2 linked regions of the Sus scrofa genome follow. The protein of the gene in region 1 interacts with the protein of each later gene in a pairwise test. Links are inferred from orthologs where the notes say so. Each region holds a gene or a part of one and is shown on either strand. Other genes may lie near its edges. The genes, in order: ABTB1 and EEF1A2.

Evidence for each region.
Region 2: the proteins of ABTB1 (region 1) and EEF1A2 interact in binary tests that used the Homo sapiens proteins (3 or more experiments, as listed by UniProt). The two-hybrid records come from large-scale screens. The link is inferred for Sus scrofa from reciprocal best matches to the Homo sapiens genes ABTB1 and EEF1A2.

What each region holds. Positions count from the first base shown.
Region 1 is NC_010455.5:72,575,036-72,583,692, forward strand, and holds the start of ABTB1 (ankyrin repeat and BTB/POZ domain-containing protein 1), read right to left. Parts: upstream 4,441-8,657; 5' UTR 4,110-4,440; coding exon 4,054-4,109; exon of another isoform or gene 3,590-4,053; coding exon of another isoform or gene 3,567-3,589; intron 3,114-3,566; coding exon 3,051-3,113; intron 2,972-3,050; coding exon 2,916-2,971; intron 2,247-2,915; exon of another isoform or gene 2,207-2,246; coding exon of another isoform or gene 2,194-2,206; coding exon 2,052-2,193; intron 1,935-2,051; coding exon 1,775-1,934; intron 1,695-1,774; coding exon 1,649-1,694; intron 1,444-1,648; coding exon 1,348-1,443; intron 1,257-1,347; coding exon 1,138-1,256; intron 922-1,137; coding exon 826-921; intron 739-825; coding exon 571-738; intron 211-570; coding exon of another isoform or gene 58-210; exon of another isoform or gene 1-57. Other genes in the region: PODXL2 (podocalyxin-like protein 2), read right to left, coding at 4,441-4,653, 5,163-5,342, 7,367-7,428, 7,765-7,921. UniProt on the Homo sapiens protein: May act as a mediator of the PTEN growth-suppressive signaling pathway. May play a role in developmental processes.
Region 2 is NC_010459.5:62,514,391-62,521,801, forward strand, and holds the end of EEF1A2 (elongation factor 1-alpha 2), read right to left. Parts: intron 7,193-7,411; coding exon 7,042-7,192; intron 6,096-7,041; coding exon 5,839-6,095; intron 4,657-5,838; coding exon 4,422-4,656; intron 3,830-4,421; coding exon 3,702-3,829; 3' UTR 3,421-3,701; downstream 1-3,420. UniProt on the Homo sapiens protein: Translation elongation factor that catalyzes the GTP-dependent binding of aminoacyl-tRNA (aa-tRNA) to the A-site of ribosomes during the elongation phase of protein synthesis.

The sequences.
Region 1 (8,657 bases):
CCTCCTGAGGCAACTATGATGGGGACCCCATGGCTGGCAGCATCCACCACAAGCCCTTCAGGGAGTCAGTGTGCTGACCTTGCCCCAGGGCACACCAGGGCGACAAGATGGAGGGGATGATTCGGGGCCCTGTAAGCCACCTGCCCTGGGCACTAACCTCAGAGAGAAACCAGGAACAACAAACTCTTCCTCAGTTATTGTGTTTTGGGGCTTTTAAAAAAAAAAAAAAACAAAAACTAGCCTGTGTGGCAGTGATGCTCACCCTCTGCTTCCTGCTGCCCTGTCTGTGGGGACGGCCTTAGGGCAGCTGAAGCAACCCCAACACCCTTGTGGGACTTTGAGGTGACTGTCCCCACCCCGCCTCTAGCTGGAGAACTTGGGCATCCCAGGTCGCTGATGCTGTCATTCCTGCTCTGGAACCTATCAAGGCCCCTCTACCTATAGAAAAGTCCCCATGGGGCCACGCTCCCTTCCCCAGCACCACGGAGAACTGGCCCTAGAGCTGGGCGCTCCCCTTTGGAGCCCCGCGGCCTGCGACACCTCCCCTCCGCCCCCATCCGGTATACACACCTCCGTGTGGTCACTGTAGACATAGTACAGCACGTGGGTGAACACATCAGGTGAGATGCCGTGCAGGGTGATGGCCAGGAGGCTGCCCTGGGCCTCCAGCTGCTCATTCTCCTGGAAGTGGTCATCCAGCAGGGCCCGGAAGTAGTCACTGCGGCCGCAGAAGAAGGCCTAGGGGAAGCTGGGCTCAGGATGGGCGGGGACCTGGGCCCAGAGCTTAAGGCAGGGGTGGGAGTCCAGGGGGAGAAAGCTTGGCACCTTGTGACAGAGGAAGTTATAACCCTCCACTCGGAAGCAGACGTCAGGACAGCCATTGAAGCCATCGCAAGGGAAGGGCAGCTCCCAGAGATCACCCTGGGGGGCAGAGAGGAGGTGCCATCAGAGCAGGCGGGAGAAGGGACAGCAGCCGGCCCCAGCCAAGGGCCTGCTCTTGCTCACACCTGAAGGTGACCGCCGCCCCACCTGCAGATCCAGACACAGCACAGAACACAAGCCAGCAGTGTGGCTAGAAAAAAGGGAAGTGCCAGGCTTAGGTTTAAACCGCCGCCCCTTCCTAGGCAAGGTGCTCACCCGGAGCTCAGTGGGCAGGGCACAGTCCGCCAGCAGGGCCAGGTCCTCCCGCAGCCGTAAGTCTGCCTGCGGGGGCTCGATGGTCAGCACCTTCACGCACGTGCCTGGCTTGGAGGCCACTGCGGAGGGCAGAGCACAGCTTCAGGGCGCGGGGCAGCCCTGCCAATTCCTGCCCGCGGCCCTGGGCCTGAGGCTGGACACACAACTCACACTTGGCCTCCAGGTCACCTAGCAGGTCCCACAGCTGGCACTGCTTGGCCAGGCGCTCACAGTCGCTGACATGCTCCACACTGACATCCAGGCAGCCTGGGTGTGGGTGCAGCACGGGAGGGAGGCTCAGGGTCTGAACGGGACCCTGCTGCCTGGACAGAATTCCAGGAGGCAGTCCCTCTGCCCAGCCTGGCCCCAGGTGGGAAAAGCCAACCCAGGAGGTTGCTGAGGCTGCCCTGCACTGCAGGGGACAAGCACCTGGGTGTGCTGTGGCCCCTCCCTACCCAGACCCGGGGTTCACCTGTGTACAGGTACTGCAGCAGGGCGCCGAAGGCCACAGGGTTGATCTGTGGGCAGAGACTGCGGTCAGAGGCAGTCACTCAGCACAAGCCCCCTGCTGACCCCCGACCCCAAACCATGGACCCACCAGGGGGTGCCGAAGGACCACAACACTCTTGCCCTTCCACTTGGTGTCCAGCATGTTGGCGAAGTAGGCACTGCGAGCACCCAGGATGCAGCGGTGAGCCCGGAAAGACCTCCCATGCACCATGAAGACCACGTCACTGTGGATGCCCTGCTCCAGAAGCCTGGGGAGCAGTCCAGGGGTGCTCAGCAGTATGCCCCGCCCTCCTGCCCCCCAGCAGGGTGCCGCGGTCCATAGGCCACACCCACTGCAGACCCACCAGGCAGGGCTGTCTCCTCACCGGAGCAGGAAGCTGTAGTAGTGATCCCGCCTCCTGCAGGACGTCACCTGCTTGTACTCACGCAAGGCCCGGCGAATGGCATCACTCTGCGCTCCATAGAGGCAGCGCTCACCATCAAAGGTGTTGGCCTCACAGCGGGCTCCTGGGAAAAGCATGGCTCTCCCATCAGCAGGGCCATGGGGCTGCCCCCTGCAGCTGGAGAGGGGCCAGGGGAAAGTCTCACCCAACACACACACACACACCAGCCAGGGCCCAAGCACGCCCAGACCACATGAGACAGAGAGCTCGGTGGCCAGCCCTGTTCTCTACAGACAGACTGTAAACTGATGGGCCCCTAGCTGAGGGGGTACTGAGGCTCCAGGACAGCGAAAACAGGTTAGCAATTGATGCCAGCTGCTCTGAAGAAAAACTAAGTAAGACGAAGAGTGACAGTGGTGGCAGGTGCCACAGATGGACTGTGACAGTGACAGGTGCAGAGGCCTAAACTAAACGAGAGCCACATGAGAACAAGGGAAAGGGCAGTCTGAGCAGGAGGAATGGCAACGGAAGAGGCCCTGAGGAACCAGGCCAGGCGGGAGGGGGAGTGTGGGTCTTGGGGAAGCTCCCAGCCTGACAGGGCATCCAGCTCCATGGCAGACGGGAAAGCCTGCACAAAGGGCAACAAACCATTGGTCAGGTGAAGGGGCAGCCTTGAGGCCAGAGGTGACATCAACTGCAGGGAGATGCTGAGCTGCTGGAAGCAGCACGCAGAACTAGTTCCCAAAGCAGAGCTAAAAGCACTTGCTGATGGGATGCAGGTGAAGGGGAGAGATCCAGAGCCACTGTGAACACCCGCATGCAGCCCCCCGCCCCCAACCCACTTACCATTGGCCAGCAGGTAGAGCACAAGTTCCTCATGGCCACAGAGGCAGGCATAGTACCTGAGGGGAAGGGACCCAGTGCTGTCAGGCCTGCAGCGCCACCAACCCTGACCACCCCTGCTCCCCCCACGGCACTCACAGCGGGGTGCTGTCCCACTTGTCCCGCACGTTCACCTCCACGTCACGCTGCTCTAGCAGATACCTGGGCAGGGAAGTCAGAGCTGAGTCAGGCCAGGTTCCTGGTCTGGAGAGCAAACCTTCAGGAGGGGAAGGAAGGAAGCCTCCCCAGGTGAGGGCGGGTGAGGGCTGAGCAGAACAGGAAAGGCACTTGAGACAAGGAGACCACGGAGTGGCAATGGGAAACCCAGCATCAGAGGCCCCAGAACTGAAGGGGCCTCTGGGCAGAAAGCCTTTGGGAAGGAGGAGAGGAAGGGGCCTCTGCCTCTGTGGGAGCCCTCTGGCTGCTTGGGGTGGCAAGGCCGAGCACGAGCTGCTGCAGGCATACTGGTGATGTGGAAATGACAAAAAGGTAGGTTCTAGAAGGTGGATGTCAGGAGACAGGGCAGCAGGTGGGGTGGGGAAGTGGGAATCAACAAGGGTGGTGATGGAGCCACCACAGAGGAGGAAGTGCCTTGGGGGAGACACCTGGGCCGACCTCAAGAGCGCTCCCAGCAGCATCACAAGTGGCACCTGCAGCGGGGGAGCTGTGCGGGTCAGGAATTGGCGAAGGTGGGCAGGTGCCTCCCATCCCAATCAGGCAGCCCACGGAGATGGCGACTGCAGCGCCCAGTCAGCTCTAGCCGCACTTGGGGAGTTTCCGAATCTCCGAGGACTAGAGACCCCAGCTCCGGGTCCACAGCGCATCAGAAACGAATCGCGGAGTCCCAGGCCGGCCCCCAGGGTCTGGCGCCCGGGCCCTTCTCTTCTCTCCGCGCTCTCCTCTCCCCCTCCGGGCGTTCTCGTCGCAGTACCTTCCTCCGGGACCCCCTGGAGGAGTCACGCCAGAGCTCCCCGATCCCCGGCTCCACCCCAGAGCACTGTGGCAACCTAGGCAGCCCTGCTTCGGCGTCTGGGCGCCCACGGGGGAAGGGTCTGCGGCGGGGTCACCCACCCGGCACCCTCCCGGGGCCAAGGGTCCTCACCGCACTCGGCCCACGTCCCCCTTCCTGCAGCTGGAGAACAGGTCGCACGTATCCATGGCGCGGACGGCCCGGACCCCCGCCAGGCGACCTCAGAGCCCCGGCCGGATATAAACACGCCCCGCCCCGCCCGGGCGCTCGGCAGCGGCGCCTGGCGCTCGGAGGACCGACTCGGGCGCGCTGCCCCGCCCCCACCCCAGCCCAGAGTAAGAACGAGTCGCTTAGGCGGACCACGGGCCGGCGTGCTCTCCCGGCGGCTTTAATAGGGTCCCGGGCGCCCCGCGGGGCGTCGGGTCGGGGGGGTGGGGGGTGCCGAGATGCGTCGAGAGTCACTGGAGGGGGAGGCAGAGGACCCCACGCCGAGGCCCGGGCCGGGCGGGGCTCAGCCCCTCACAGGTGCGTGTCCTCCTCAAACACGTCTGAGTCCTCGGGGTCACGCTTGCCCCCCATGAGCGCGCTCCATCCCCCCGGGCCGTTGACCGCGCCGCCGCCATTCAGGCTGGGCTGCTTCTCCTGCATCTCCGACTGGCTGTCGCTGGCCACGTCCAGCGTGGGGTTGTCGTGGCAGCCGTTCTCCACGAAGCGCAGCTCCTCGCCGTGCGACTGCGGCGGGAGGGGCGGCTGGGCGGGCGCGCCGGCCCCGCCGCCCCACATCCCTCCAGACCCTCCCTAGACAGGGGACCCCTGTCGGACCCTCGACGGACAGCGGACAGACAGCCCCTTCTGGTCCTGTAGCTCAACTCCTTTCTTAAAATGACCATTGACCCTTTACACTTATCAGCCTTGTGGCCTCCCTGACACCGTCTATCCCTCCACCACCCCAGAGACTCCTAGAAAATAAGGGAGGTGTGCACTGCCTGCACCCCACTCCCACCCCCAACCGGGGCGTCTGCAAGGCCGCCCTGCCCAGGAGGAACTGGGCCCACAACCCACACCTCCAGCATCTGACAACCAGGAGCTGGGCCCTGGACAAGGACTTCAACTCACAGTACCCACCCCCTAGTAACTGCCACCTCACTCACAAATAAGGACCCCAAGTTTCAGGTGCCCGGCTAGCTGGACCCCCTATACCACCCGGACCAGGCCCCCTGCCCACCCACCCTCACGCTCACCACGTGTTTCAGCTTGGGCAGCCGGCGCTGCCAGCAGTTATAGAGCAAGCCCAGCACGATGATGACCACACAGATGGCACCGATGACCACCAGCACCACAAAGAGCGTCCCGTAGTCACTGCGCACCTGGCTGGCCCGGGCCTGGCAGCTGCTTGTAGTGGAGTAGTTCTGGATGCCAATCTGGGGACAGGAGGGCCGGCTTCTGAGCTGAGGTCCTGGGGTACTAGGTCTCCCCAGATTGGAGCTCAGGGTGGGCAACATGCCTGGCCTGTGCTCACCAAGGACTCTGCCCACCTCCCTTCTCAGCCTTCCCTCACATACTGGCCTCAGCTCTGCCCACCCCAACTCTGCTTGTGCGGAGATCTGGCCCTAAATGGACTTGCAGGTAGCCTTAACCCCCACCCCCACCCCCACCGCCCCAGGTCTGGCCCCATGCTGGCACAGTCCCAACCATCCCCCCACTTTGAAAAAAGACAAAGGCACCTGTGAGCCCCTCTCTTCACTTTTTCCACCACATACCCACCCATTCAGGCTCCTGAAACACTGCTTCCCCTGTGGGGGCAGGGGTGTTCTGCTATCATTCTGGCCATGTGAGCCAGAGAGTGTACAGGAGGCTGGGATGATCCACATCCCAGGCCATCCCCAGCCTCTTGGCTTCCTCCTCTGCTCACTGGAGTGGTCCCAATGTGACCAGCACCCTCCCACACAGCAGGCAGTCCTGGGCAGGCTGGCCTTCTCTGTCCAAGAGGCTGCTTTGTCCCAACTGGGCATCCCAGGTGGAGGGGAGCAGGAAATGTGAAGTGCCACCATCAGATGCCAGATGCCAGGGGGAGGGTGCTGTCTTCTGGCTCTGGGTGCAGAGACCTGGGAGGCCCCCTTTCTGCCACAGGCCCCCTTTCTAAGGCCAGGTACTAGCCCTTCTTCCTGTGAACCACCTATGTATTTCTAGTACTCTTCCCTACTCTTAATTTATCAAGGTCAGTGCACATGCTAAATCTGCCACATACACTTCCAGACCCAGCATGCCTTTGGGCCAAGTCAGGCTCAATGAAGTGTTCAGTAAAGCCAGAATACTGAAGAGGGGAAGAGGCAGGAGGGTCTGTAGAAGGTTGAGCTCAAGTTTCCACCAGCACCTCCTCCCCCGCCCCCAGTTCATGAACCTCAAATCTGCCAACTTGGAACAGCTCTTGGTGGCCATCCAGGTGGTGCAGATACAGCCTCATGGTGAAAGGCCCAGGCTCTTGAGTCATTTAGGTCTAGTCCAAAGCCTGACTCTACTGCTCACTAGCTGTGCCATCTGGGGCGAGTCACCTCCCTGCTCTGGGCTTCAGCTCTCGTCTTAAATGGGGTATCAACAGTCCTCAACAGGGGCCTCGCTCATTGCCCACAATCCCTGGGTGATGGTGAAGGTGGGATGGGAGAACTGAATGAAATCTGGCTCTCAGCACCCAGTCTGTTTATCAAAACCCCAAACAGCCTCAGAGGCCATCCTTCTGCCCTGCACAGGCTAGATAAGGAGGCAGGACGCATGGGTCACTGGATAAGGAGGCAGGGCCCACAGTCACGCATGCCTCAACTCTGCCATCACACACTACAGGGCCCTGTTGACAGGCCCCTGGATTCCACAGTGAAAGGCAGGAGTCTGGGGGACACCAGGCTGTCCCCAAGGGAGGGGAGGAACTGAGGGTCTCCCCTTCAGGGAAGAGGCATCTGGAGCAGAGGCTGGCCAGCCTGTCTCCTCGGTCCAGGTCTCAGGGCCAGCCAGGCAGCCGGAACCAGTGTTCCCCCACCCCAGCTGACAGAGCACCAGCCAATCCCCAGCAGGGAGTGCCTGGTGATGATTTCTTTTGTGGTTTTGGAAACCATGTCACATCATTCCCACCTAGCCAACTTCTGCACAGCTCCTGGCCCAGACTTGTGCTTCTCCACTGTTGACCCAGAGAACTCCGCTTACCTTCCGACACACCCCACCAAGGTCCACTCCCCTGTGTCCTCCCGACCACTGCCCTCTGCAGCTTGGGTCTGCACCTGGCACCACATCACCTGTACCACGACTGGTAGCGCTGTGCTCCTTAGAGGGCTGGGTCTCAGTGACTGCAGCCAAGCCACTCAGGGCCCCTTCACGCCACAGCCTGCAACGCCCTCAGGGAAGGCAGCCCCGCCCCAGAGCTTCAGGGGTACAGGAGCATGGCCTGCACCCTTACCTCCACCAGGCTCCTGCGGATGCCACCCAGCATGGACAGGACGTCTTGAGTGGGCACCACCCCTGGGGAGACACCACCGTCAGCAGAGCGCGGCCGCTGCCCGTCGGACCCTCCACCCAGACTCCCAACCTCCTCCTGTGCCCCAAGAACATGCAGACCATCCTGTACCTGCTTCCCACCCACTGGCTCACATGCAGATGCACAGATACCCACCATGCAACAGGTGTGGCCCCGGGGCGGCCTCTCCCACAGCCCTGCCCCCACTGTATCCATTTGGTCCAGGGGCCACCACCTCCTCTTCTCCAGAACCAACCAGGACTCAGCCCGCTGCCTTGTATCCCCACAAATGCCCTCCTGCAGCCTCCTGGGAGCTGCTGGGCCGGTGCTGCCCAGCTCACCCTGCTCGCCCACCAAGGTCATCAGAAGATGCTGCTCCTTCTCACTGGGCTTGCTCAGGGAGATGTGCCAGTCCCCATGGCGGCCACTGCCGTGGCGGGGCAGCACCTCCTCTACCAGGGCCAGGAGCTGCAGCCCTCGGTGCCGCCGGAACACCTCCTACAAGGGCAGAGAGAGCCCAGTACTTGGTGAGGGGTGGGCCCAGTGACCCTGCCTCTAGGCCCAGCACCCACAGGGGCCACTCAGGCTCCAGGGATTGTGGGAGAGGCTGTGAACTGAGCTTCGGGGGGACTGTGGGAGCAGCAAGATCTGCAGGCCTCCAGGCACCTCCTCCAGCCTTGGCCTCCCACCATGAGGGCACAGGGCCTGCCCAGGGCTACTCACAGGTGAGCTGGGGCACAGATTGCCCACCCGCAACAACACACCCAGGGAGTAGGCCAGCGTGTGGAGGACCAGGGGAGCCTACCCACGGGGCCTGAGTGTCCAGCTGTGCCACATGAGGGGTGTGGGGGGGGGAGGGGAGACAGAGTGCACAGCAATAAGGCCATCAAATAGCAGAAGAGGCAAGAGGCCACCTCCCCAAGCTCCCTTCGCCTGTCACTGGAGAGATGGTGCCCAAAGTTGAGGAGTCAAGAAAGACGCCTTTATACACATTGGTGGCAGCAGTGACTAGGAGAGGCTGTGGTGGGAAATGCTGGCAGCAGGGCGCAGAGGTGGGGGTGGGGTGCTGAGCAGACTTCCTCCTGCTCTCTTGTACCGCTCAAATTTTCTTCACCTTGTGGGTACAGAATTACATCATTTAAAAACAAGAACAGGAGGCTGGCACTGGACAGGAACTCAGCCCATGACAGGAACCTGGGCCCATGCCTCCGGCTCATAGCCCACCATTGTTCCC
Region 2 (7,411 bases), on another chromosome or scaffold:
AGTCGGGTCAGCAGATCCCGCTTTAAAAGATTCCCCAGCCCAGCAGAGGGCGGGAGACCTGGCCCCAATCTCAGGGGCCACTCACGGAGCCCGGGCTCAGGCACCAGCCCTGTGGCCAGCAGCGACGTCGCTCTCTGGGGCCACACGTCCTCCGCGGCAGTCCCAGCCGCGCGGGAGAGCCGGTCGGTGTGCCCCTCCCTGGTCCCCGGCCCCGAGGCCGCACCACGCACGCCACCACCCCACCCCCCCCCCGCCCAGGACTGTGGTGCCACCTGCCACCTCTCGAGCTGACGCCCCGCCCCCAGGCCCGTGGACTCCGCCCCCTGCCCTGCGGTGGGGAAGGACCCACCCACCACCGGACCCAAGGGGCCCCCCCCACTCTCCTCACCGGGCCGCCTCAGCGCCTGGAGCTGGACAGCGGCAGGGTGGCAGCCGAGGAGGCCGCCGCGCAGCGCCTGCGCCTGCGAGCACCTGACCGCAGCGGCTCCGCCACCCACCACCTGCCTGTCGCGCAGCGGGTGGAGCCGGGGTGGGAACCTGCACCCTGGCCGCCCGCCCTGCCCAGATCGAGGTCCCCTAAGCTCCGTGCAGGCACCCCGGGGTCGCAGAAACCTTCAGAAGGCCTTCAAGGTCAAAATTGTTTTCACAGTAATTCCAGCGCCTTGACTTTGTCCCGCCTGTTCGCCCGGGTACAGAGGCTTCTCCGAACCACGCGCTGTGTGACAACTGTGCTGGGTGCTCTTGCTTGAAACATGCCCGCGTTCATTTCCAGGGCCCTGAAGTTCACGGCTACGACCTCGGTGGTGCTTGACTTTGTGAGGGGTTGAGAACCGCTGCCCAGAGTGCGATGAGGGGCTTTGCCTTTCCCGCCCAGTCCTCCCTCCCCAGAGGGGCACATTTCCCACCGCCAGGCCCGCGGTGGGGCAGTGCCCACCCTCCCTCTGAAGCCCCTCCCGCTGAGTGTGGTTGGCTCCCGGGACAGCCGGGAGACCCAGCCCCTGCCCACCCCACCCCCAGCTCTGCAGGGTGCTGAGCCAGGCAGGGGCGCGCAGTGAGGCCGGCGGGGAAACTCCTGGAAAGGAGGCTGCGTGTGCTGCCCCCGCGTGGACACCGGGAGCTACTGCGTGTCCCCATCAGCTAGGTCCCAATTTCTCCTGTCACCTCTTGGAGCCCACACTGAGCAGGGCACCTGAGAGGTGCAGGGTCCCTGCCAGGCCTCAGACTAGGAGCTTGTGCCTTCCTGGGGCTGCCTTTATCACTCCACTCCAGGAGGGGGACTGAGGGGCTGAGATTCTCTGAGAAACCCCACCCTCCGCCACGGCAGGGACCCCTGTCTACCAGCCTCAGACTCTGACGGGAACGGGCAAATGCTCCCACCTCTGTCCTCATGCCATCCTGAGAGTCCTCCAGGATGGCAAGCTCTGTACCCCGTCCCCACCCCAGAAATGCCCACCTGGGGGCAGGCAGTGCCACCCCAAGGGCAGCCCCGGCATTCAGGCCAGGCCGACACCCCCTGCACTCTCCATCTGGACGACAAATTTGCAAGAGCCACTGGGACCAGAGGGTGAGGCTTCCCCCAGGGACCTCTCTGGGGGCCTTCCTTTGACCCCAGTGGAAGGTGGATTTACTCTCACCTGTCTCAGCCTGATAGGTTTCTCCCACCGGACCCCAGTTCCAACTGGGCCAAGTGTGTAAGGACTGGAACCCAGTTCCACCTGGGCCAAGTGTGTAAGGACAGCATCCGGGAGAGTCTGCAGGGTCACACCAGGTCCCTCCCGCCAGCAATGGTGGCCCGCAGAGGCCCAGGAAGCCCAGGGCTCAGGAGAGCTTGGAGGTACCCGGTTTCCTTGGGTGGGGCCTCCAGGTAAAACACACCATCAAGTGTGAGTCTCAGGTAAGCACCAGATCCTTCTGTGTAGGTATCGTATGGGACTTATTTATGCTAAAAAAAAAGTATCCTCTGTTTATCTGAAATCCACATTTGCCTGGGGTTTCTGTGTCTGTATTTGCCTTCTCAAGCCGCCTTCCTTGGAGGCCTCTGAGGGTCAGCCCAGACCCTCCCACACAGCTCTGTGGCCGCCAGCAGCACCCAAGGGAAGGGGTCCCATCTGACTCTGCCCGGCTCATCTAGTCATTCTTCATCTGGTCCTTCCCTGCCTGTGGCTTCAGGGGCCCGTCCCCACTTTGGGACTAGGCGGGGAGAGACCGCAGCCCCTCTGTGGACACCCCTGAGCCGAGCACACCTGTCTCTCCTGGCTGGTCCTTCCTCGGGGCATAATCCACACCCTCCCCCCCAGCCCCAACCCCCCACCAGGGCAGTTGGCTCCATTGGCTCTCAGAGATTTCAGGTGCCAGTTCCTGGATCCTGCAATGTGTGACATATGGCAGGAAAGCGCTGTACGAGGTAATTAAACTAACGATCTTAAGATGAGGAGATGGCCCTGGGCCGTCCTTATAAGTGGGAGGCAGAGGAGACTGGCCCAGAGAAGATGAGCCCATGCGACCGTGGAGGCAGAGGTTGCAGGAATGTGGCCACAAGCCAGGGAACTTGGGCAGCCACCAGAAGCCGCAAGAGGCACAGGACAGACCCTCCCTGGAGCCTCTGGAGGGAGCAGACCCTGCCTGCACTGGAGTCTGTCCCAGTGGTATGGACTGAGACGGTTCGTGTATGTGGTTTTCAGCTGCCAGCTTGCAGTCCATTTGTTGCTGCAGCCCCAGGGGACTCAATCCCAGGGGACCCTGTGGCTGGCCTGCTCCTCTCCCCAGCCCAGACCTGCTGTGGGCAGCTGTGTCCGTCGTCGGAACCAGCTCATCCTCACCCTGACCCCCGCACGCGCACTGCCGCTGCTTTCTGGGCGCAGGCATGGCTGGGCAGGGCGTGGTCCTGCCAGCCCCCCGGTGCTTGCTGACCAAGGTCAGGGCTTGTTCTGGGGTTTCTGGGGCTGCAGTTCCTGCCGTACCAAGGACCGCGCTGAGGAGCCTCCAGCCACAGTGACCGGCTCGGGGGTGGCGGTGGGGGCAGTAAGACTGGGCTTCCAAGAGCCAGGGAGCCGGAAGACCCGGGCGAAGCACAGTGTGTGTGAGAGCCACTCGCGGGGGAGGGGCTCTGGGCTCATCCCCTTCTCAGAGAGACCCCCAAACTTTCAATCCCCTTCTGCAGCTCCGCAGTGACCCAGTCTTTGCCTTGGATCCCCCCACAGGGGGACCCCAAAGTCCCCTCACCCTCTGGACTCCAGACCCAGCGGCCCACAGCCCACCCTGGGTAATGCAGGTGGACACCTGGCCAGATCGGCCGCAGGGCCAGTGGGTGCCGAGTGGGCCGCTGGGCTAGCAGCTTGGTGGGGGGCCGGGTGGGGGGTACGAAGGCGCGCCCTCCCGCACGGCGGGCCGCCCACCCCCCAGCAGCAGGCGCACACACGGTTCCGGGGTCGCTCAGTTTATTGGTAAAACGGACACTGAGCGTGGCGAAGGCTGGACGCGGAAGCCGGGGCGGCGGGGGCGCTTTTCCTCTTAAAGAACTTCCACTGGACCTTGATGGCCAGCATCCAGTCGCTGACGGAGAGCCTCTTACAAGCGGAGGTACAGACATGCGCCTGGCGGGGGGGCGGGGCGCCGGGGCCGCGCCGGGGGCGGGGCCGGGGGCGGGGCCGAGGGCGGGGCGCGGCGCCGCCGGGGAGGGTCGCGCCGCGGGCGCCCGCGCTTCACTTGCCCGCCTTCTGCGCCTTCTGCGCCGACTTGGTGACCTTGCCGGCGCCGCCGCTCTTCTTCTCCACGTTCTTGATGACGCCCACGGCCACCGTCTGCCTCATGTCGCGCACGGCGAAGCGGCCTGCGGGTAGGAGGCGTGAAGAGCCGGCCCGGATGCCACGCGCAGGCGCACTCGCGCCCGCAGCATCCTCCCCAACCCAGGCCCTGGGGCTGCGACCCTCGCGGTGGGGACGGGGTTCCCTGCGCCTGTTTCCGGGGACAGGGTGGAGTACGGGCTCCCATCTACTTAGATGCACATAGGACTCCGTCAAGGCACAGTTGCCAGAAGTAAATGGCCTGTGAACCATGCCGAGAACACGCTCGGCTGTTTTGACGGTGGCCCCACCCTGGCATTAGGCAGCTCTCCAATACAGGTCTGTGGGTCATCCTAGGGTATCTGTGAGGGAGGCCAGTTGGAGGCAGGAGGTCAGTCTGACTCTGCCTCGAGACTAGCTGTGGGCCTTGGACCACTCCCTTAGGGGACTTCCTTTGCAGAGGGGACACCATTTCAGGCCCACCTAGTGGGGCCACGTGTGCTCCGGGAGACAAAGGCCAAGGCCGGGAGTCTCCTACTGAGTTCTCAGTGCTGCAGCAAAGTTCAGGATCCACCCCCCCCCCCCACCCAGGGGTCTCCTGCCCTTGGCCTGGGCCCGCCACCTCCCCTCCCGGCTCACCGAGGGGCGGGTACTGGGAGAAGCTCTCCACACACATGGGCTTCCCAGGGACCATCTCTACAATGGCCGCGTCGCCAGACTTCAGGGACTTGGGGTTGTCCTCCAGCTTCTTGCCAGAGCGCCGGTCAATCTTCTCCTTGAGCTCGGCAAACTTGCAGGCGATGTGGGCCGTGTGGCAGTCAATGACCGGTGAGTAGCCGGCGCTGATCTGCCCCGGGTGGTTCAGAATGATGACCTGCGGGCAGAGTGGCAGAGGCCATCAGCCCTGCCCCGGGTGGGCACCAGAGGAGGGCACCAGGCTGGAAGAGGCCCTGCCCACCCCAGGGGCCCTGGGTGCTGACCCTGGAGAACGGTCAGGCTCCAGGGGGCCCAGGCCCCCAGACCTACAGAGCCCGAGGCTGGTTGTCTTCAAGGGTCTGAAAAGCCACAGAAGATAAACACCGAGAGCATCATTTGAAAGGGCCAGAGGCCAGAGCCGAAGGAGCAGGGAGACAAACCCGGGCCCGACTGTCGTATTTCAACCATACCTCAGTAAAGCCAATTTTAAACACTGTAGTGGAGTTCCCGCTGTGGCTCAATGAGTTAAGAACCCAACTAGTATCCACGAGGATGCGGGTTTGATCCCTGGCCCTGCTCAGTGGGTTAAGGATCTGGCATTGCCATGAGCTGTGGTGTAGGTCACAGACAAGGCTCGGGTCCCGTGGGGCTGTGGCTGTGGGGCAGGCCGGCAGCTGCAGCTCTGAGTCGACCTCTAGCCTGGGGATCTCCATATGCCACGGGTGAAGCCCTAGAAGGAGAGAAAGAAAAACAGACAAACTTTGTAGTCACGTTAAAGAGATGACCAGGAGTTCCCGTCGTGGCGCAGTGGTTAACCAATCCGACTAGGAACCATGAGGTTGCGGGTTCGGTCCCTGCCCTTGCTCAGTGGGTTAGCGATCCGGCGTTGCCGTGAGCTGTGGTGTAGGTTGCAGATGCAGCTGGGATCCCGCGTTGCTGTGGCTCTGGCGTAGGCCGGTGGCTACAGCTCCGATTCGACCCCTAGCCTGGGAACCTCCATATGCTGCGGGAGCGGCCCAAAGAAATAGCAAAAAGACAAAAAATAATAATAATAATAAATAAATATAAATAAATAAATAAAGAGATGACCAAAGAAGGCGCAGTGAAAACAGAGGAGAGCCTTGCAGATGGGCCCCAGGCGATAAGCTGATTACAGCATTTCCAGGACCGAAGTGGGACCCCCTGAGGCTGGGCAGCCTGGTCACCCTGTCGGCTCTTCCTGAGGTTCCACCTCCGCCCGGCCTCGACGGCCCGTCTCTAACGTGGGGATCCGAGTCCTTCCTGGCACCAGGCAGCCGCCTCGCCGAGGACAGCCCTGCGCTGCCTGGGAAGACGGCCCTCTGGCCCCCGGGCCGCGCACCTGGGAAGTGAACTGGGCGGCCTCCTGGGGCGGGTCGGACTTGCTGTCCCCACACACGTTGCCCCGACGGATGTCCTTGACTGACACGTTCTTCACGTTGAAGCCGACGTTGTCCCCGGGCAGGGCCTCGCTCAGAGCCTCGTGGTGCATCTCCACCGACTTCACCTCAGTGGTGATGTTCACGGGCGCGAAGGTCACCACCATGCCCGGCCGGAGGATGCCCGTCTCCACTCGGCCCACAGGCACAGTGCCAATGCCTGCGTCGAGAGGAAGGAGGCTGAGAAGGCAGGCCTGGCGGGGGGTGCCCTTCGCCCTGGCAGGGGAGGGGTGGCCACATGGAGGAGGTGAGGGGACAGGGAGACGCCGAGACATTCGGCCAGAAGTGGGAGCTTCCCGGCCCCTCCGGGAGAAGGGACTCGGGAAGAGAGTGCCCATAACACGGGGCAAACGGGCAAGGAGAGGGCCGTCTGAAAGAGGGGTCCCGCCCCTGCCCCAGGGACCGCCTCCCCTCTCCGGGGCCTCTCCTTCCGAGGCAGCAGCATGAACCGGTCCCCCTGGATTGACCCGGCCCAGTACTGGTGCTGCCGTCTCGGGGGCTATTCCTGAAGAGGTACGGTGCCCCCTAGGGCGGCGGCAGGGGGCTCCTCCTGGTCTCCCTGGCGGTGACAGCGGCTCGTGTGGCATTACCGAGCCTGGTGGCGTTCTCTGTGCCGGGTGGGCGTGGACCCCCAGTCTGCACACAGGCCTGACATCTCCAGCCGCAGCCTGCTGGCCGCGAGCCCCCACCGCTGCCCTCCTGGGCCTCATACTTGCTCAAGGTTCTGTACCATCTCATGAATGGCTGTTCTCCTTCTGGAGTGGATCATGTCTCCCACAGGCCCCAGACCTCCAGGGGGAGGGCAACGAGGGCAACGTGTGGCTCCCTTGTGCCACCCGCTGCTGGCATAGGGCTGGGCACTGAGCTGGAGGAAGGAGGACCCTTGCGGGACAGCCCGATGGGCAGGTGGGAGTGGACAGAGGGACAGACAGACAGATGAATGGATGAAGACAGGTGGGTGGGTGGTCCCCTGGAAAGAGTGCAGCCTCGGGGGAGAGGCAGAAATAACCCTGCCCCAGGCTCCTCGCCAGAGCCGGTTCTCAGGAGGGGTCTGAGGGCAGAGCCGGCGGCTGGGCTGGGAGGGCAGCTGAAGAGGCTTCACTCACCGCCAATCTTGTACACGTCCTGCAGCGGCAGGCGCAGGGGCTTGTCTGTGGGGCGTGTGGGGGGCAGGATGGTGTCCAGAGCCTCCAGCAGGGACACGCCACTGGCATTCCCTTCCTTCCGCTCCACTTTCCAGCCCTTGAACCAGGGCATCTGGGCGGGAGGAAGAAGGCACCTGTTGTAGCGCCCCTCCCCCACCCCCCAGCCTTGGCCTCCCTGACCCCCGTCGGTGGCCCTGTCCCACGTGAGACCCAGCCCGACCAGGAACCCCGACCACGGGGCTCCAGGTTAAGTCTCCCTGGGTCTCCTTGGCCCCCTCCACGCCCGCCTCCCCCAGCCTGGCCAGAACGGCTGTCCTATGGCGCCCTTGCC